Struthio camelus: one gene and its partner. The protein of the gene in region 1 interacts with the protein of each later gene in a pairwise test. Links are inferred from orthologs where the notes say so. Each region holds a gene or a part of one and is shown in the gene's direction. Other genes may lie near its edges.

Region 1 (10,565 bases):
AGCCTCTCTGCACAGTCCCTTGCTCCCTGGAGGTGCAACTCCACTCACCCAACCCTGGGGTATCCCCACTGAGGGGTCCACATCCAACTATCCCAGCAGCTGCAGGAGAGGAGGAGGCAGGGTCAGCAGCTGTTTCCCAGACTCATAGAGCAATTGGGATCAGCAGGGACTCTGGGGAGCCGCCGGTCCAACCTCCTGCTCGAGCTGGGGCAGGACTGCGTCCAGTTGGGTGTTGAATATCTCCAAGGATGGAGCCTCCACAACATGTTCCCATGCTCAGCCACCCTCACAGTCAAGACATGGTTTCTTGTGTTCATTCTGTGCCCATTGCCTACTGAGACGAGTCGGGTCCTGTCCTCTTGATACCCTCCCATCAGCTATTTATACATGTTTTTCAGTTTTTATACGCATTCCTCAGTTTGCCTGGGGTCCTGGCTCCTTGCTGCCCGGCAGGAGCCCTGCGCCATCTTGGAGGTGAGCAGCACTCCCCATGGGAGTGCCAGCTCCCCACTGCAGCTACATTTCTAGGTTCTGGACGAGTCTAGTGGCCACCCCAGCCACCACCCCCCAGGCTGAGGCTGACGGGGACAGAGCATCGCGTTTCAGTCCACTGCCATCACAGGCTTGTGGTACCCACAGCAAGACCTCCATGCTGTAGTTCCCATTTCTGAGACACAGTTTGCACCCTGAGCAGGCAGCAATGGCGTTTGTGAGCAGCATTGAGGCAGCTCAGAGCCAGATGCATGGGGACAACCCCACCATGGCAATGGGGACATCACTCTGGATGCAACCTCAAGCTCTGGGTACCCTGTCACCAGGAGCTGGGAAAGGACTGCAGTAGACACAACTGCCAAGTATTTGCAGCTGGCCATTATCTCTGGGGCCAATACCAGTACCACCCTCCCTAGCAGCTAGATGATCCCTCCCTATGAAGCTACAGGTCTGGCACCTCATCCCCGGCACTGCATTACCTGGTAGGACAGGACGTCTGCATGATGGCGCTCCTCTGAGTCCTGCCTCTGCTTCTCCAATGATTCCTGGGTCCCTTTGAGGGCATCAAGCTCAGTGGTCTTGGACTGGAGCTGGCGACGGTACTCGCTGATCTCCTCCTGGGCCGAGCGGATGGCATCCGTGTTCACCTTGGCAACTTCGGAGAGCTTGTCCAGCCTCACTGCAACAGGGCAAAGGGAAAGCTGCAGCAAGCAAGGGAGGGAGGCTTCATTCTCCCCTTCTGGGGCAACTGAGGTGGCTCCTGACCCCCCAAAAACCCCTGAGCCTGCAAATCTTCTGTGTGCACACCCTCTGCAGCACTAAGCCCTGGCAGGGGCTTCCTGGGAGGTTGGCTCAGCCAGCCCTCACTCCGTCTGTGCTGGGGTGATGACAGTGCCTGGGTAGGACAGACTAGGCAGCTTTGGGTTTTTTTTTTCCATCCTGGATTTTTTTTCCCATGCAAACCTACTGTCTCAGGGCCTCCTCTTGAGCTCCTGCCACAAACTCAATGACCTACAGACCTGCCTTCTCACTCCAGCTCTGGGAGTGGTAGGAATGGCAGCCCCAGGCATCCCTCCGGCCACATTCGGGCCCTGAGCAGCCACACCGTCCTTGAGCGGGTGGCTGGAGGGCACAGAGGGCTCTGCTGCCCACCAAACCTGTGTCTCTTGCCGCAGCCAACTGCAGGGTGTGTGTCACTCAGGGGCTTTCCACAGTGCCCTGAGGCACCCCAAGGGACAGAGGCCGGTGCCTGCTGCTCCTAGCACCCTGCAGGATGGCTGCTGGGCACCAGCAGCCTCAGCCCTGCGGGGATGCTGGTCCCAGAGCAGGGTGCTGAGGCCACCCAGCACCCACAAGTACTGAGCCCTCTGCTCTCCAAGCTGCTGCACCCGTGCAGCACCCCCATGGGTGCTAGGTTCCCCCCCCCCAGAGGACTCCGATGGGTGATGACCCTTCCCCGCACTCCCAAGGGTGCTGAGCCAGGAACTCGAGGTGTTGACCACGCCCGGCGCGCCCATGGGTGCTGATGCGGGCGCTCTCCAGGGTGCTGAAGCCCCCGGCCTCTCTCCAGGGTGCTGAAGCAGGGGCTCCCTGAGGTGCTGAGCCCCCTCCGGCCTCTCTCCAGGGTGCTGACCGCCTCCCGCCCTCTCAAGGGTGCTGAACCGCTCGGCTCAGTGCCGTAGTGCCCCGCCCAGTAGCGCAGCAAGGACGCTCCCCGCCCCCCCGGAAGGATGCGGCACCCCCCCCCCAACACTGCGCTATCATCCCCTCCCTGCAGCGCACCGCAAATACTCCCGACCTGGCCAAATTCCAGGGAAAAGAGACCGGTGCGCAGCGTTATCGCGGCACCCCAAAGACCCGCGGGGCGCAGTGGCCATGCTGCCCTCCCCAAAAAGCAGTGCGGGGCGAGGAGGGGAGAGGGGTGTCCGCCCTGCAAATAGCCAGGGTGCTGGGGGCGACGGGTGGGATTACCGTAACGCCCTGATGGAGAGCGCTACGCGGGAGGCGGGGGGAGGTCCGCGCACACGTCCGCGGTGGGGTTACCGTGACGCCCTCCCGAAGCGCCGACCCCGGGGTCCCTGCGCGCAGAGGGGCGGGGCAGGGGTGCCCGCGGCGGGGCTGCGCACCCGCGGAGCGGGGTCCGCGCCCGGGGAAGGGAGCGGGGGGATAGGAGGAGAGCTCACCTCGGAACCAGTCCTCGGCCTGCAGCGTGCTGCGCGCCGCCGTGCCCTCCAGCTGAGCGCGCAGGTCGCGGAGCGCCGCGCTGAGGCCGGGGCCGGCGGCGGCGGCGGGGGGCGGCGGCTCGAGGCGGGCCCCGCGCAGCAGCTCGCCCAGCTCGGCCTCGTGCTGCCGCCGCAGCAGCGCCGCCTCCTCGCGCAGGGCGCGGGCGCGCTCGGCCAGCGGCCCCCGGGCCCGCTCCTCCTGCGCGGAGCGCTGCGCCAGCCCGCGGGCCGCCGCCTCCAGCGCGCCGCGCTGCCGCGCCTCCTCTTCGAGGCGCGCCCGCAGCGCCGCCGCCTCCTGCGCCAGGCGCGCCCGCTCCAGGCGCAGCTGGCCCTGCTCGGCGCCCAGGCGCAGCACGGCGGCGCGCAGGTCGCGCAGCTCCCGCGTGTACAGCTCGCCCATGGCGGCGCGGCCCGCCTGCTGCTGCCGCAGCGCCGCCGCCTCGGCCGCCAGCGCCCGGTTGCGCTGCTCCAGCGCCCGCACCCGCTCGATGTAGCCGGCGAAGCGGTCGTTGAGCACTTGCAGCAGCTCCTTCTCGTTGCGCGCCCGCGGCTCGCCGTTCAGCGAGTCGAGGCTCTCGGTGGAGGAGGCGGCCGCGCTGCCGCCGCCGCCCCGCGCCCGGCCCGGCGCCGGTGCCGGCCACGAGTGGAAGCCGCTGGAGGCGGCGGAGCGCGGGGCGGCGCGGCCCGGCGGCGCCGGGGGGCCCAGCAGCGTCTCCAGCAGCAGGCTCATCGCGGCCACCTCACTGCGGCACCGCCGCCGCCGCCGCCCCTTTATAGGGCCCGGCGCCGCCCCGCCACCGCCACCGCCCCCGCACCGCCCCCGCTCCCGCCCCCGCCCCGCGGGCCCGGGGAGTCCCCACGGCCCGGCCCCGCCGAGGGAGCGGGACCCCCGCGTGGGAGAGCGAGACCCTGCGGAGGAAAGTGGGACGCCGCGGGGGAGAGCGGGACCCCCGCGAGGGGATGGGGATCACCCGGAGCAGAGTGGGAACCCCAGGGCAGGGGATTGGGACCCCTGGGGAGAGCGGGGTGACCCTGGGAAGCGAGTAGGATCCCTGGTGGCAGAGATCGGGGCCCCCGGGAAGGCAGCAGGGACGCCTCCGTGGCGGAAGGGACCCCCGCGGACACAGCAGGGAGCCCCGGGGGACAGCGGAGATGCCCAAGAGAGGCAGAGGGAGAAGGTGTGGGTCTCTCCTCCCAGGGAAAGGACCACGGGGAACTGCCCTTGGAGGAAGGGAGAATGGAGGTACTCCGGGGGGGACAAAGTGGGACTCCCGGCGGGGGGGGGGGGGTGGAGAGCAGAGATGTCCCTCTCAAGGACAAGAGGCTGGGACCTTCCCACCTCTGCAAGGGATGCTCTCTGCGGTCCCCGGACCCTCTGCCCCACAGCAGGACTGGGGGCATTCCTGCCTAGCCCCCAGAGCTGCTGGCTGCTCTCAGGCTGCAGTGACCAGAGCTGGGGAGCAGGCAGGAGGGAGCAGGCGAACGGGGCCATGTCCCAGCTCAGGGTGCTCCCCGGGACCAGCCTGGCAGCCGGCTGGCAGCCCAGCGGCAGGGCCACGCACCAGGCTGACGACTTGCAAACTCACTGCACCTGCACGCCACATGTAGCTGGCCCTGCTCCATGGCATGGAGGGGCTGCCAGGTGAGACTGGCAGCGTGTGGGGGGAAGCAGGGTGGCATCACCCCCCAGGCCCCTCTGTCAGTCCCTGTCTTTGGGTGTTGTCTGCCTGTCCGTCTGCTCATCCGTCCATCCTGCACACTTCACCCCCAAGAACCAGCGCCGTGGGGCACCCCAGCTTTGGGCTGATGCTGTTCCCCACGCGGGGGCTTCGGGCAAGGCCTGTCACCGGCCCCCGACATTGTGGGGGCAGTTGGGTTGGCTCTGCCCCTGCCAAAGGCAGCGCATGGCGAGCGCAGAGCTGATCCTTGCAACCTCGCCACCCCGCGAAGGAGCCCAGCGAGGGCAGAGTGTCCTGGCGGTGAAACCCCAGGGCAGGGAGAGGGGCAGAGGATGCTGGCAGAGCGGGTGGGGGAGACCCAGCCTCCCCCCTGCCCCCCTGCTGCAGGATGGGTCCTGAGCCCCATCAGCTTCCCAGGGTGCTCGAGCTGGTGGCCAATAGGTGTCAAGGGCACATGGGGAGATGACAAGGGCCACCGGGGAGACATGGGGCCGCGGTGCCCCCCCCACCCTTGCCGGGGAGCAGGGAGCGCACGGCCCCACCCAACGCACAGGTAAACTCAGCCAATCAGCACTCAGGTACAGCCCACGCTGAGCAGGTACGTACATCCCACACCCAGCACACCCCTACAGCCCACCCCAACACACCCCACAACCCACACCCAACACACCCCTACAGCCCACCCCAACACACCCCACAACCCACACCCAACACACCCCTACAGCCCACTCCCAACACACCCCACACCCCACACCCAACACACCCCTACAGCCCACTCCCAACACACCCCACAACCCACACCCAACACACCCCTACAGCCCACCCCAACACACCCCTATAACCCACACCCAACACACCCCTACAGCCCACTCCCAACACACCCCACAACCCACACCCAGCACACCCCTACAGCCCACTCCCAACACACCCCACAACCCACACCCAACACACCCCTACAGCCCACCCCAACACACCCCTATAACCCACACCCAACACACCCCTACAGCCCACTCCCAACACACCCCACAACCCACACCCAACACACCCCTACAGCCCACCCCAACACACCCCTATAACCCACACGCAACACACCCCTACAGCCCACTCCCAACACACCCCACAACCCACACCCAACACACCCTACAACCCACACTCTGCAGGTACATACAACCCACACCCAACACACACCTACTGCCTACAACCAACAGGCATGCACAGCCCACACCCAACAGGCACCTACAGTCCACACCCAACAGGTATGTACAGACCACACCCGATGCATACCTACAACCCACACCCAACAGGCACCTACACCCCACACCCAACAGGCACCTACAGTCCATACCCAACAGGCACCTACAACTCATGCCCAACAGGCACCTACACCCCACACCCAACAGGCACCTACAGTCCATACCCAACAGGCACCTACAACTCATGCCCAACAGGCACCTACACCCCACACCCAACAGGCACCTACACCCCACACCCAACAGGCACATACAACCCACGCCCAACAGGCACCCACGGCCCACGTGGGAGCCCTCCGCGGCGCCTGCCGAAGGGGGGTCTCTTTCCCCTCGGCTCCCCGCTGCCCGTTTGCGACGGGAACCGCCGGTGCCGGCTGTGGGGGCGGCAGGCGGGGAGCAGCGGGCAGCGGGTGTGCAGAGCCCCTTCCCGGCGGGGGGGGGATTTCGGCAGGGTCCGAGCCCTGCTGGGGAGGGGGCGGCTCTGCACAGAGGAGGAAATCTGTATTTGTGATCCTTGTGAATTCCCCTACGTGGAGGGGGGGGGGATCGTTCCCACCGCCTCCTCCCCGCCCGCAGCCGCCCTGCCCGGCCCCGGCGGCGCAGCGGCAACGGCCCGGCCAGGGGCTCCTTCCCGCGGGTCTCCCCAGCGCCGCTGCCTCCCACCCCAGCAGCCCCGCGCGGACGTTTTGCTGCTCAGCACTTTTTTTTTTTTTCCAGCAGCCCTGCAGCAGCGCATTGCCCTGAAACGTGAGGCTGCGGCGGAAGCGGGGACTGAAATCAGCGCCGGGCGGCGCTGGGGGGGCAGAGATGCCGCAGCGGCGGGCTGGCCGGCGCCGCGCGTGGGCAAGAACCGGCTGACGGGGCCGCTCTCCCCCTCAAAGCCTTGGGTGAGATGCAGCGAGGACGTGTCCCCGGGGCGGCTTGGGGCGGCGGGTCCCGGACGCCGCGCATCGGTCACCTCCTGCCTAGGGAAACCAAAGCGCTTCTAACCGGCCAAATAGCTACAGCTGCTTCTGCCTTCAAATATCGGATGAATTTATTACTTCATAGGGCAGAAAAGCTCTGTGCCCGATGAGTCACTCCGCAGCTGCCAGCGGCGCTGAGCGCGGGCTGCTCTCGCCGAAGCCCCCCGGTGCGGCTCGGCAGGGCTACGAGCCGCCGCAGAGGCCGGCGGCTGCCCGCTGACTCAGCAGGCCGCGGCGGCACCGCGTGCGGCTCTCCCGGGCGCCGCTGCAGCGAAACCCTTCCCCAAAGCTCTGCTTGAACGTCGCCGTGGGTTCCCTTGCGGCCCCCGGTCCCAGCCCGAACCGGGGGCTCCAGCCCCGTGCTCTCCCCACCTTCCCCCCCAGGTGCTCGGCAACCCCCCCAAAAGTGACCGAAGGTGTCACGTTCCTGGGACATGAAACTGCCACGGAGCTGCAGTGACAGCAGCGAACACGTCTCGATTACTGCCGCCGAGGAGCTCCCCGGCGTCCTTTCAAAGTCACCCGGGCGGCCGGGGCCGTCAGCGCTGCGGGAAGCGGGAATTTCTGTGGCGGCAGCACATCCCCGCTCCCTGCTGGCCCTGCTCCCGCCCGGCAGCCTCTCGGGGGCTTCCAAGCTGTTCCCTGCATTGCGTTTTCCCCTGGAAAGGCGGCCTTGCGGCAGCAGAGCGCCGCTGGCTGCTGGCAGAGACGCTTCCTGCAATTTGTCTCCTTCCAAAACCTGGCTCTTGCACAGCTTGATGCTTAGTAGCCCGGCAGAGACCCAGCGAACTCGCTTCACCCAGGAGCGGGCACCTGCAGCCCTCTCGCAAGGGCGCAGAGCAGCATCGCCCACTTGATTATTTGTTTTTCCAAATAAACTATTTCGGGAGGCAGCTGTGAGCGTTCGTGGCTGCTTTGCTGTGTCGCTGCTGCAGCGGGCCGGGCTGGCTGCGGCTTGGGTGAAGCGAGTTTGCTGGGTCTCTGCCGGGCTGCGAAACGTTCCTCCGTTTCACGGTGGTTTTTCCGCTTCTCGGCCGACGGTTTGGCCTGCGCGGAGCTGGTTCGACCGCGGGGCGCCTGGGCCAGGGCCGCCGGGCAGCGGGGTGAGAGCGGCTGCGGCGCTCCTGGCTCGCGCAGCCCCGGCATTTGCGCGGCCGAAATGGTGCTGCTGCTCCGGCTTGGCCCGCCGCGTCATGTCACGTCATGTCACGTCACGCCAGGTCGCGTCACGCCACGCAGGGACCGCCTGGGGAGCCAGCAAGGAGGCCCGGCAGCCACGGGCCCCGTGCGGGGAGGCCCCGGGCGTGAAGTTCCCCCCAGCTGGGGGGATCCGGAGGCTCCCGAGCTGCTTTCGACGTCCTCGAGCCCCGTTTCGGGGGTTTTCTGGGAAAAACTCGGTGGCCTCCTCGTCACCGGCACAGGTGACAGTGACGTGGGGTGGCATGAGGACCCCTGCGGCACGGACGGCCGGGCGGCGCCGAGTGCCACCAGCTCAGGGCCTGGCCGACGGGAGGTGGGTGACCGCGGTGTCCCGGGGGGGGGATCACCCGTGGGATCCCCACGCCGGGCGCCCACCAGGGTCCCCGCAGGCCGTCCCCGTGTCACCCCCGGCAGGCGGCGCTTGGGGCCGATGGTCCCCCGGGCCCGGCGGGGAGGGAGCTCGGGGAGGGACGCCCGGAGCCGCCGTGTCCGTATCCGTGTCCGTGTGTCCCCGTGTCCCCCCCCCCCGGCCCCGTGCGGGCTCAGCGCGCGCCAGCCTCGCGCGCCCCCTCCACCCCGCGGCCCGTCCGAGGCCCCGCCCCCAGCTCCCCGGCCCCGCCCCCGGCTCCCCGGCCCCGCCCCCGGCTCCCCGGCCCCGCCCCCACTCCCGGCCCCGCCCCGCGCCCCGGAAGCGCTGGCCCGCTCCGCCCTCACTTCCGCTGGGCCGGTGGCAGCGGGCGGCGGCGGGAGCGCGGCGGGAGGTACGGCCGGGCCGGGCCGGGCCGGGGGCGCTGGGTCAGGGTCGCCGCCGTCGCGCGGACCGGCTGCCCGCGGGGGCCGCTGCCCGGGAGCGGGAGCGGGAGCGGTGGCAGCCGCTGCCCCCGGCCCTGCTCCGCTCGCTTCCCCCGCTGGGCCTCCTGCCGCGGGCCGGCCGCCCTCGATCCCCCCTTCAGCCCCCCCCCCGGGGTCCGGCCCCCTTCAACCTCCCCCCCCGGGGTCCGGCCCCCTTCAAGCCCCCCCCCCCGGGGTCCGGCCCCCCTTCAACCTCCCCCCCCCGGGGTCCGGCCCCCTTCAACCTCCCCCCCCCCGGGGTCCGGCCCCCTTCAACCTCCCCCCCCCCGGGGTCCGGCCCCCTTCAACCTCCCCCCCCCCGGGGTCCGGCCCCCCTTCAACCTCCCCCCCCCCCGGGGTCCGGCCCCCTTCAACCTCCCCCCCCCCCGGGGTCCGGCCCCCTTCAACCTCCCCCCCCCCGGGGTCCGGCCCCCCTTCAAGCCCCCCCCCCCGGGGTCCGGCCCCCCTTCAAGCCCCCCCCCCCGGGGTCCGGCCCCCCTTCAACCTCCCTCCCCCGGGGTCCGGCCCCCTTCAAGCCCCCCCCCCAGGAGTCCGGCCCCCTTCAAGCCCGCCCCCGCCCCGCGGGGTCCGGCCCCCTTCAACCCTCCCCCCCGCCCCCGGGGCCGGGCCCCCTTCAACCTCCCCCCCGCCCCCGGGGCCGGGCCCCCTTCAACCTCCCCCCCGCCCCCGGGGCCGGGCCCCCTTCATACTCCCCCCCCCCCGGGGCCGGGCCCCCTTCAAGCCCGCCCCCGCCCCGCGGGGTCCGGCCCCCTTCAACCCTCCCCCCCGCCCCCGGGGCCGGGCCCCCTTCAACCTCCCCCCCGCCCCCGGGGCCGGGCCCCCTTCAACCTCCCCCCCGCCCCCGGGGCCGGGCCCCCTTCATACTCCCCCCCCCCCGGGGCCGGGCCCCCTTCAAACTCCCCCCCCCCCCCCCCCCGGGCCAGGCTCCCTTCAAACTCCCCCCCCCCCGGGGCCGGGCCCCCTTCAACCCTCCCCCCCCTCCCCGGGGCCGGGCCCCCTTCAAACTCCCCCCCCTCCCCATCCCCGGGGCCAGGCCCCCTTCATACTCCCCCCTGGGGCTGGGCCCCCTTCAAACTCCCCCCCCTTCTCCCCGGGGCCAGGCCCCCTTCAAACTCCCCCCCCCCCAGCCCCCTGGGTCTTGTCCCCCACTTCTTGCGGGGGGTCTCGGGTGGCTGGTCTCAGGGTGAAATAATTGTTATTCTGGGCTCAGTTTTTGCAGGTGCTGCCGGGGGAGAGGCCATCGGCCGCGCTCTCCCGGTCCCCTCCGTGGGGAGGTCGCAGCAGGCTGCGGACGGGCAACTTTTGGGGCTGGGGGTGTAGAAAACTCGCGTTCGTTCCTCGAATCGCTGCCCTGCTGTCTGGGGATGTTTTGGGGAGCCCGGTGGCGGCAGCAGATCCCAGCACGGCTGACGTGACCCGTACCTAGCGCTGCCCCGGCGCTTCTGCTGAGAGGCACGCAGCTTATTTGCAAGAAAACTGGTGAAATAGGAGGAAACTCATCCCCGCTTCCTTCACGAGCACTGCTTTTGGGTGGAGGAACGAATACTTGCCGTTCTGCGAAACTCTACCGGGAAGCTGCTGGAATTGGGAAGGGTCCTGGGGGCTGGGGCAGAGACAGCTTTGGGATCTGAAAGTAGTATCTGATGCGCTTGGTCCTATAAACTCCTGTTTTTCCCAGCCTTGCTCAGGGAGCTGCTTCCTCAGCTTCACGCAGAATCCGCCCCGGCCTGGCCGCTGCCCGTGTAATGGCATCTGCCAAAGCGCGGTGAAATGTCATGCGAATTCCGAGAAATTGGTGTCAAACTCCGTGAGTGATGAACTTTCTTTTCAGGAATCTTTAATAACATCCCATGAGGAACGGTCTAGTCTCGTAGCTAAGAGCAGTTTTCAGCCCTTTCTTTGGGG
Region 2 (10,263 bases), on another chromosome or scaffold:
TTTGACTGCAGTGATGCGGAACCGGAACAAAATATGGGGGTGAAGGAAAGCAGGGACTGGAAAAGAAAATCAGGGAAGCGTGGCTTCAATTGATTTTGCCCCTGTGTTCACACCCTTGTTCCCCTCACCTGCCCTCCGCATTCACTTTCCTTGGCTCTCATCTTTACTCCTTGCTGAAGCACTAAGCTGTCATTTCTCATCTGGTATCTTCCATCCATCAGCATGTCTGGGATAGCTGGCAGCTAATTCTGATGGGTGAATGACACATGAAGATCCCTTGCCAGTCGCAATGGGGCGTGAATTGATCAGGCTAACAAATGTTGACAGGTGAGAGACATTCACCCAAAGTTGCTACTGGTAGTGAAGACAGAGATATAAAGGGTTCCATATGGTAGCTGTGTTGATGTAATGCCAGAAGATAAGCATCCTAGTGGCCTGAATTGCACTCACTTCCTTCTGCCATTTTCTTTCTCATTCTCCAGCATATTCCAAGCATCCTCTTTCCTTGTCAGTGCAAAAACATAGTTACATGTAGGAACAAGCACTATCACTGAAGTCTTATTCCAAATATGTAAAAACTATTACTTATCAGAAAAAAAAAATACAAAGACATAACATAAGGATAAAAAGCAATTCAATATTTGTACTTTGAAACTTACAAAGATTGAAAAAGCCTCACTGAGGTTTTACCTCTTCTTTCTCGTCTTTTCCATCTTGCTTTTTGCCTCCCCTTCTTATTCAATTTCTGCTCAGTTTGGAGACTTGCAGTACACTATTTTGCCCTAGAATAGCTGATATTGTCCTTTGGCGTTCTTGTATTTTAAGTGAATTAGAGAATGTTTCAAATAAGGACAAAGTGTCCGAAACTTTTTTCCAAATAAAATGTTGTTATAGATACCTGGCATACTCTTGCTTTTCTGACATAGATATGTGTAGGTGTCTGAAATCTCACATATGTATATACTTCTCTATGGACTCTGACTCGCAGAGCCAATTTTAAGCATTTTTCTTAAACAGTTAATAAGCGAATGCTAGAATAGTTGGATTTTAGCATGTCGCATCTATGTTCCGTGATGATGCTCTGTGGAGACACAGAGCTCTGAGAGCTCCACCTACCTTCTAGCTCTTCCTGCCCTATCTTTTCATTTACAGGTGCTATGTCTGGAAGACCATTCCTTCTGCTGTGAATCTAAAGAGACTGTCTTCCTGATTCAGATCTTGTAGTTATGTGGTAAGTTTTACACTGCTGTTGTAAAGTCATGATACTCCATGTTGTTCAGACACAGACAGCTATTAAAAAGAAAAGAATAAAAGGAAAGGCTTTAAAAAAACGAGATTGGGAGAGAAAAGCCTGGATGATTCTAAATTTTACAATACCTTAAATAAAGACAATAATTGCTCAGAAAACACTAAGTAAGCCTGGAAATGTTTTCTTAGTTTTCATTTGCCACTATTTTCCTCCATTACTTAAGGAAACAGGAATTTACTTGCGATCAGTATATTACTTTATAAAATTTTGATAACCTTGTTTTTCACAAAGGGGTACACAAGACACATCTCAATAAAGATTTTGATGCCTGATTAAATTAGTTGATTTTTCAGGGTATTGCAGACGGAGAGGTCTGATCTTCAGCATCCCCCCAATCTGGGCAAAGAGAGAAATTAGGGCTACAAGTGCAGCCAGCAACCTGTGCTTGCCTTCTTCTCCACATACTCAGCACTTAGGAACTCTCTTATCTCTCAGCACGTCGTGCAGTTTTACCACCTACACTGTAGATAACTATCTTCGCTATGATGGTGTCTATGTGCAAACAGGGATTTATCTTGAGGCACCTTAGTGTAAAAACAAGCCTTTGAAAACATTTGAGAGTCTTGTGCTGGTAAGCTTGATGCTTAACAATAGTCATAATAAAAGTGATATTACCTTCACTTTTTATTTAAATGTTAAATAAAGATTCCAAACGTGATGTGACAAAGTGATCTGTACCTCAGAGGTAGGCACATCACAGAGCATCTTGCAGAATTGGGCTTTGGTGTATGTGACTAATCAACTCTAAATGCCTTTGGAATCCTCTTAAAACTAAAGAAACACTAGCAGATTAAGTCCTTTCACGGAAACCACAGATTCCATTAGTCACACCATCAGATAATAGAATTTGTTAGTTCTGTACCAAAACGTAAATGAAAGTCAAACCAGTTGCACACATGCAAGTGAAGACTTGATTATTTGGCTTCTGTTTCATTTCTGGATGGTGGCAACAACTTTCTGACCCTGTGGAGCTTCTGCCCAGTGAGGTTTTGAAACAGGTCTTGGCTATTCTTTGCTTGTAAGATGGTAGCGGTAAATTCTTTTCCACTGATCTTTTGACCAAAGTTAATATCCCCCTACTCACACAGTCAAGAATTTGCTTTCCTGGCACATACACTCTGGCTCTTACATCAAGTCCATTTCTTCTTTCTCCCTCTTAAGGGATCTTAAAAACTGCTTCCCAATACTGCAAGTTATATATATATACACCAGTTCTGATATTCAAGTCCATGAGAAACTAATAATTTTTTCAGGCCTGATGATTCTGTCAAGCGTATTAAGACGATACTGGTGTACTGAAGTCCAGATTGCTCTTCGGGCTAGGTACAATGAGAGATCTAATGGGACCCCTCTAACATAAGTTCCTTGCTGTTCTGCTGTAGTGCCAAAAGTTCAGAGGAAACCAAAAATACAGTCTGCTACATGCATGCTGCCTAACAGATGTTGTCAGGTATTGATACAGGTGTTGCCAAAAACCCTTCCTTGGGGGACAGAAAAGCATGTCATTCTTGGTAGTTGTTTTTCAGGACATGCTGATGCGAATGAAAGAACAAAAATCCTTTTCCCATTTAGCTTGCATCAGAAGAAATCAGGTTTTCACAAGAAGAGAACAGCTACAGTCTATATTAGGACAAATTAGGTTGCATCTCCCTTTTCAGACTCCTTTCCATGGCTGGCTTTCTGCATCTGCAAATGGCTGAATGTCTTTCAGAGGCTTATTCCAGACATCGGCAAGAAATTGTTTTCAAGACCTTTCCCACAGCCAAAATCATAGACCATCTCATTAAGACACCCTTTAGTTTCCCTTCCTCAAATTTCATTGTTTTTATATAATCTTGCATTGATACATTTTTTCCACTAAGAGGTGGAAAATAGAGATCTTCCCAAAATATCTTGGCCACCATTCCCAATAATACTCAAGTTTTGCAGAACTCATTTTTGCACGGTCACTGCAGATATCATGCCTTATCTCGAGCCCATGCTTACTTTGATCTGGGTTCTTACAGTCTACAGTCATACAGTCATAGGTGGGATGTCTCATTTCAACGTCTCTCCTTTTCTTTCATGGCTGAACCGTATACTTCTGCATTTCACAGCAAACTTCATTCCTTATGCCTACTTCCAGAGGCAAGAAATCAACATGTACCAGCTCCAGAGGCTTATTGCTAGTGACATTCTCCAGATACCCAACTTTACTTGGTAAAGTTTCTCTTTCACCACACTAAGTGCATATCTCACATTTCCCTTTAGCATTCCTGCAACCACTGGCCATTCAGGGGCAACTGGACCTACTCCAGATATGTTCCACGCTCCTCTCTGCTCTCAGTTCTTCTCATTCGCTACCCAAAACTCTTCAGGCTGGCCAGGAGGGAGGGGAAACTGGGGGAGAAATGACACGACTCTGTACCTTCTCAGTACTGTCAGTTGTTTTTACCTCTTTTTGAAATGTCTGTTGTTTCTCAGTGCAGCCACCCCTTAATCATTTTTTGATTTAGCCCATTTTCCTTAGAATAGTTTAGCCTCAGAGTAGACAGAATAATCACAGTTGGGTTTTAACCTGTCTTTTCAGTAAGCAAAATGCTACAGATATCACTAGTTTGTGTCTGGATTTCCTGCCAGTTAGTTGCATTAGATGGTAAGAACTGATTCTATGGAATATATTTCCCTGAAGCCAAGGAAACACCTTTGGGGAAAAAACAAAGTTTTAACAAGACACTTCAAAAAGGCAGCTATCCTGGGATCATAAACCTACTGCAGTTTTAGTAAAAATCTTCTTGGCTTATCCATTGAATGCTCAGCTGTCCTTGGAGCTCCTGGTTGCTAAGATAATTAGTGTTTATAATGTTTTTCCCTGATGCTGAACTCACTGCTAGTGAACGGACTCAACTCTTTCCTGTGGTATTTGGGCAGGCACTTCTTAACAATTGCCAGTTGTTGTCTGGAAGAGAAGCACCATATGAGCATTCTCAATATTTCACAGACAGCCCTTTTCTAAGGACAAAAAAATTCCAGCCTGAGAATGGGGCAGTTTTATCTGACCGTAGCCTCTGCATCCAAGCCTTCCAAACACATGCAAAATACACAGTTCACCTAGATAATCAGTGTGTGATGCTCAATTTAGTGTTTATCTGTTGTTTATCAGCTGATACCTGCAGCAAGTCCATTTCCATTCAGCCTAAAACTTTGAAAAATCCTTCTTCTGGTTTCTAAACACCGTCATCTCACTCAGAAAAAATGATTATGCATGTACTTCCCATAATTTTTACTTTGAGATGCTGGAGCCTGGCAGGTGCTTGCACAAGTCCAAACAGAGAGGAAGGGGGAAGGTGGAGTACATGCTGTCTTTTTCTCCCCGCCTGACCCCAGACGGGGCAGGCATCTGCTCCCAGCTTCCTGCATCCTCAGAGGTCTCCACTTGTCAAGAGCTGGTAGGAGCAAGCTCCCTTCCTTTCCAAACATCAAACCAGAAGGTTTTCATGTGTATCTGGTCAACTTTAAAATGATAAGTGAATCATATAAATTTATAGCCAACTTATCTGGAACTGTCAATGCCCTTACCCCTATCCCAGCCTTTTTGGACAACATGTCTTCTCTGCATGCCTCCGTACAACGACCTGCTCCTTCACTGGCATCCTCCACCTTTCCATCCTATCCTGCCTAACGACCTGCCCCGTGGACAGTACCCAAGCCCCTTCCCAATACTTTACCTGGCTTTAAATGCTTTTTTTTTTTTTTGTTCTTGTTTCTCACACCGTTTTTCACGTTTTGGACCCATCTCATCTTTTGCAGGGCAAGCACGCAAACTTTATTTCCAGAGAGAAACTTCACCGCCTTACAATCGTGCTGCGAATTCGCCCCTGCACCTGGGCCCTAGGCTTCAGGAAAGGCCGAGGGAAGCAGGAGGGACATCGCGGCGGCAGCGCGGTGCGGCGGGGCGAGGCAGGCCCGGGGCGGGGGGCGCCCAACGGAAACCGCCCCGGCGGGGGAGGCCGTTGAGGCAGACCCACGGAGCGGGGGGGGGGGGGGGGAGCAAGCCTTACGTGAGGCGGCAGAAAACATCCCCCCCCCGTGCCCGCAGCCCCTCAAACGGGCCGCGCCGCCTTGCGCCGCGCTACGCTCAACCCCCTGTCCCCGCCCGTCAGCCCGCTGCCCCCTCCCCGTTACGTGACGGTTGGGGGGGGGGGCGACGTCCGGGCATAAGCGCATCCCACCCCCCCCCCCCGCCTTCACAGCCCCCTTTACGCATGCGCGGGCCGGCGCAGCAGCGCCACCTCGCTGCCCCCTTCGCCACCGCAAGGAGACCCTCGCGCGTGCTCACTCGGGCGAAGCGGCTGTCGCGGGGAGGGGCGGGGGGGCTGTTCTTCCCCCCCCCCCCAAACACACCCCATCCCCTTCCTTCTTGCCGAAGGCGCTTGGGCGTTTCCGCGGCCGTTGCCCGCCCCCTGCCCGCGCCCCGCCGTCCCGGCGGCGGAAGATGGCGCTGGGGATTGGCGGGGCGGCGGCGGCGGGAGCAGCGGCGGCGGCGGCGGCGGGAGCGGTTATGCAAACGAGGCTGCCGGCAGCCGGCGCGGACCGCGGCTGAGAAGGGAGGCGACTGGGGCTGCGCCGCCGCCGCCGGACCCTCCTCCTGTGCCTCCCTCGCCGCCCCTGCGCTTTCCCGGCCCCCCGCCCTCGCCGCGGCCCGGCATGGCCGTTGGTGCTCCGCCGTGTCGCTGTGCGCGGCGCTGCGAGGCTGCCAGCCGCCGCTGCCGCTGAGCGGGGCCGCCCGCCGCTCCCGGGAGGGGGGGGGAAAGATGTCGGACACCAAGGTGAAAGTTGCCGTCAGGGTCCGGCCCATGAACAGGAGAGGTAACAGGCGAGCGCCGCGGCCCCGGCCCCCTCCCGATGCCGCGGTGGGGGGGTGGCGGCGGCGGCCGGGAACGAGCCCGGGAGAATAACGTTTGTGCCCCGGCGCCCCCCCTGCCTCCGGCAGCCGGGGTGGGGTGGGGTGGAGGGGGGGGAGGCCGAGGCAGGCGGAGCATCCCCCTTCGCAGCCAGCTCCGTCCCGGGGCCGTGGGGACGATGCCGCCGGCCCTCCGGCGCGCACGTAGGGAGGCGGCGGCGGCCCCCGAGCCGGGGGAGCCCCGGGCGGCGCGGCGCGGCGCGGCGCGGCGGGCGGTGAGGAGGGCAGGGGTGCTCTCGCCGCCGGTGCAGCCCCCTGTCGTGTCGCCTCGCAGAGCTGGACCTGAATACCAAGTGTATCGTGGAGATGGAAGGGAACCAGACTGTGCTTCACCCTCCGCCTTCCAACACCAAGCAGGCAGAAAGGTAAAAAAAAAAAAAAAAGAAAAAAAAACAAACACAAAAATATCAAAGTTAATCGTGTTTCTCATTTAAAAAAAAAAAAAAAAGCCCTGGTCCGAATTCCCGAATTCCTGCCCCACCCTCTCCAGCGTTGGATTAGACGGCAGATGGCTCGTGTGGTTTCGTTAAAGGAGCAGCAATGTTGTAAAGTTTTTACTCGGTGCCTTTCAAAGGCTGCGATGGGGGGAATGGGCTGCGGGAAGCATGTCCTGGCCTCGGGCTGCAAGGGCGAGCGAAAGTGACCACCAGGAGGAATTGCTTCAGTGGGCTTGCGTTATTGGGAAATGAGAATTAGACCTTTCGTTCTTTCTTTGCTTCCTGAGTGGAACTGGAGGTAAACAAATGGACCTGTGGAGGCATAAGATCGCTATTGACCTCTTAAGTTTAAAAGCTGGTTCTTGATTAACTTATCAAAAAATAAGCTATTGATTAGGTAATCAATAGGTTTGGCCTACAGTGTTTTCAGAAATTTTCCTTAAGTGCAGACTGCTAATGAGCTGATGTAACCTGGGTTTTGATTTATGGAAATAAGAAGCAGAATTTGGATTTTCTGCTAGTGATGGTATTTTTTTTTTTTAAAGTTTGTTTACTAGGTTTTAACATATTTGCATTTTAAAAGGCTGTAATTGCTAGATCCTGTATTAACTCAGCGTTATTCTCTGAAGTAGCCTATGAGAATATGCTAAAATAATTTTGAAATCTGGCATTCAGTTATGATGCCCCAGTAAAGAACACTGTTGGAAATATTCCAAAATACCAATGCACTAGACTGAAAAAATAGATCAGAACAGGAAAAGATTTCTTTCCTTTGAGGGAGCGTGGGGAAAGACAGGGAGGTGTGAGAGGAAAAGTTACATTGTATGCTTATCTCTTCAGTTACCTGTTGACCATTCAACTTGCTTGATCTGCTGAATATATTTACTTTCAAGGAGGGTGAAATTATTTGCATGGTTGTAGCCGTCTTCATCTGAACGTGTTCCAACTGTTTAAGGGTTTTTAAGGGTATTTTTGATTGAGTTGGTAAGAGTTATGAAGAAACTGCAGCGTGAGGATTTGGGTTTTCTCAGAGGCAATATGTCATGTTTTCATTGTTTTCCAACAGAAAAGGTCCAAGATTTTACATGAAGACCTTCTCACGTTAATCCAAATGCTGGATTGTATCTATAATCAAATCACTTTAACTTAAATCCAGCTTGCGTTGTCTTCTGAATGGCTACTGTACTGGCCTGAGACTTGAAAGATCTGTACTTGCTTCCTGCTTCTTGCACAGATCTTTGTGTGGTCTTCTACAAGTCTTACTGCCTCTGTGTGGCTTAGCATCCCATCGGTATAATGGAAAATGCTGTTTTTCTTGAATATTCCTCCGTTTATTGAAGTGTGTATATGGTGTCCATCCCAACACTACTATAATATGAGTAACTTTAACTTTCTTTAAAGTGAGTGGATTTGGCAGGTGTAAAACATAAAATGCATAGAGAGTTTACAAAGGAAGAACAGAATCAAGATTTAAAAATTAATATTATAATTATTATTATTTTGAGAAAAAGGCTAATAGATTATTAAAATAAAGAGCCTGTAATGTGTGAATTTTGCCTATTGTGCAAATTGGTCTGCAGATGTTTAGGGAGGCTATACACTGATTCTCTGCCTTTTATCTGGCTTTAATACCTATAACGTGTATACGTTCTCTTAGTTTGAATTGGCTTCTGGCTCTGTGCCAAGAGTCTCATGAGCGAGTTCTGACACTTATGTGCAACCCCACAGCCGAGAGCTGTGTTGGCAGGTGATAGCTGCCCTGCTTGCAGTGCACTGTGAGGTTGGAATTTGGCTGCCTGTTAAACGTTTAACTTGTATGTTGAAGGAAACAACTGTCTGACATGAATGGATTGGAAATACTCAGTCAAAAATACTGATCAGAAGTAACTCCTACTGATGCAGAAATACAATTTGGATACCTGCCATATGTGGTGGTTGTGTACAGTCTACTGAGATGCCTCATGGACTTTCTAGTGCTTTGTAAAGAATCTTAAATTTTATTTACCGTTAAACTGTTGATTTCTACATTTTTACCTAAGATAGTTTAATTTCTCATGATGAAGGATGAATTCTGCTGTTCTTCTATGTGTACCCAAATAAAATGTCTATATAAACAGACTCAGAATTGCTGAGTAGTTGCTGTTTGTACTTGGATTAATGCCTCAGCAGGGTTAGAGATGTCAAATGGTTTGTTGGTTTTCTTTGTGTAGCTTGGTTTTACATAGCTCAACTGGATTTTTCTTTCAGAGCAACCATGTCATCGCAAAAATGATTTCACTTGTTAAGGTGATTAGTTGGTCTTTTGCTACCATATTGCATTGTTTAATATTTTGTTTAGAATTACCTTTCCCTTTTTAACCTTTTATCTTTTTATATGGAACTTTCCTTTATATGGACTTTCCTTTTTTTAGCTGAATGAAAGTACAAGTTTGTACTGCACTTTGGAATAAGAATAAGTTGCTTTCTAAAGCAAGTTTTGTTTTCATGACTGCTTTCTTAATTGAGCTGAAGCCAAGAAGCTGTAGTTCAGGAAGGAGAAAGGAGGGGGGGGGGGAAAGATTTCAGGACCATGCTCTCTATTTGCTTTGTACTCACAGTTATAATTTTAAATGTAATAACAGATTTTTCTAAAGTAAAATTAGATAGCGCACTCATAATCATAACGTTATAAGAACTGTTTTTGGAAGAATACCCAAGATTAGGAAAATGAGTTTTACTAGCTTTGTCTATTTTACAAGTATGGATTTGTTTTTTAGTTGAATCTAAGTTCAGATACATGCTGTTGATCAATCTCTAATTGTATATGTTCTAACTTTAAGCTTCTAAATGATTTTTACATGAGCAAGTAGTGACAGTTTTACAAGTGGTGGAAAAAAAGTAAAATCCAGACAGTGCTATCATTTGTCCAAATTAATCTGCTGTACTGGTGATAAAGCAGCACATTATAACGCGAAGTTAGAGCAGGGTTTCTAACTCCCTCTTCTAACAACTAGATCACGCTGCATTCTTACCTTAACAAAGAAAGCTACAAAATAGTAGTTAATACAATTTGTTACAATTTGATACATTTGTTTTTGTAAGCAGTAGCCCTGTCATTTCCCGTAGGCCAACGATTTTTAGGGTTCGAAACTAACCAAGAAGGAACAGAACTTAGAAAAACCTAACAACCTGAATCTGAAAGGCACTGGAAAATCTTCATCAATTGAAGTAATATTGGACAGTTTAGAAAGGAACAGTCTTCATTAGCTAGTATCAGGTATATCTATGCTGGTGCTGGCAAAGTTTCTGTAAGTTGATTGTTGGGCTTAATAACGTTAACACTTGTTTTACTATTATCGGTAGCAGTAATTCCCTGTGTGTATGCGAATACACATATGCTTGTTTTACTATTATCGGTAGCAGTAATTCCTTTTGTGTATGCCAATACACATATGCCAATGTATATGTGTATTTGTGTGTTGTTTTAGTTCCCTCTCCTGTCTTCTATCCCCTTCTTCTTCCAAACTGGTATGAGTTTCCCTTTCCCCCTCAGAAAGGAATGGACAACATCTCGTCTTTCTGGGAACACTGTGATT

The links. The genes of interacting proteins can lie anywhere in the genome.
Region 2: the proteins of AP1B1 (region 1) and KIF13A interact in binary tests that used the Homo sapiens proteins (3 or more experiments, as listed by UniProt). The link is inferred for Struthio camelus from reciprocal best matches to the Homo sapiens genes AP1B1 and KIF13A.

Annotation. Positions count from the first base shown.
Region 1 is NC_090958.1:5,165,900-5,176,464, forward strand, and holds the start of AP1B1 (AP-1 complex subunit beta-1), read left to right. Parts: upstream 1-6,507; 5' UTR 6,508-6,530; intron 6,531-8,488; exon of another isoform or gene 8,489-8,569; intron 8,570-10,338; exon of another isoform or gene 10,339-10,467; intron 10,468-10,491; exon of another isoform or gene 10,492-10,565. Other genes in the region: NEFH (neurofilament heavy polypeptide), read right to left, coding at 972-1,171, 2,676-3,444. UniProt on the Homo sapiens protein: Subunit of clathrin-associated adaptor protein complex 1 that plays a role in protein sorting in the late-Golgi/trans-Golgi network (TGN) and/or endosomes.
Region 2 is NC_090943.1:97,755,938-97,766,200, forward strand, and holds the start of KIF13A (kinesin-like protein KIF13A), read left to right. Parts: upstream 1-5,826; 5' UTR 5,827-6,102; coding exon 6,103-6,157; intron 6,158-6,525; coding exon 6,526-6,616; intron 6,617-10,263. UniProt on the Homo sapiens protein: Plus end-directed microtubule-dependent motor protein involved in intracellular transport and regulating various processes such as mannose-6-phosphate receptor (M6PR) transport to the plasma membrane, endosomal sorting during melanosome biogenesis and cytokinesis.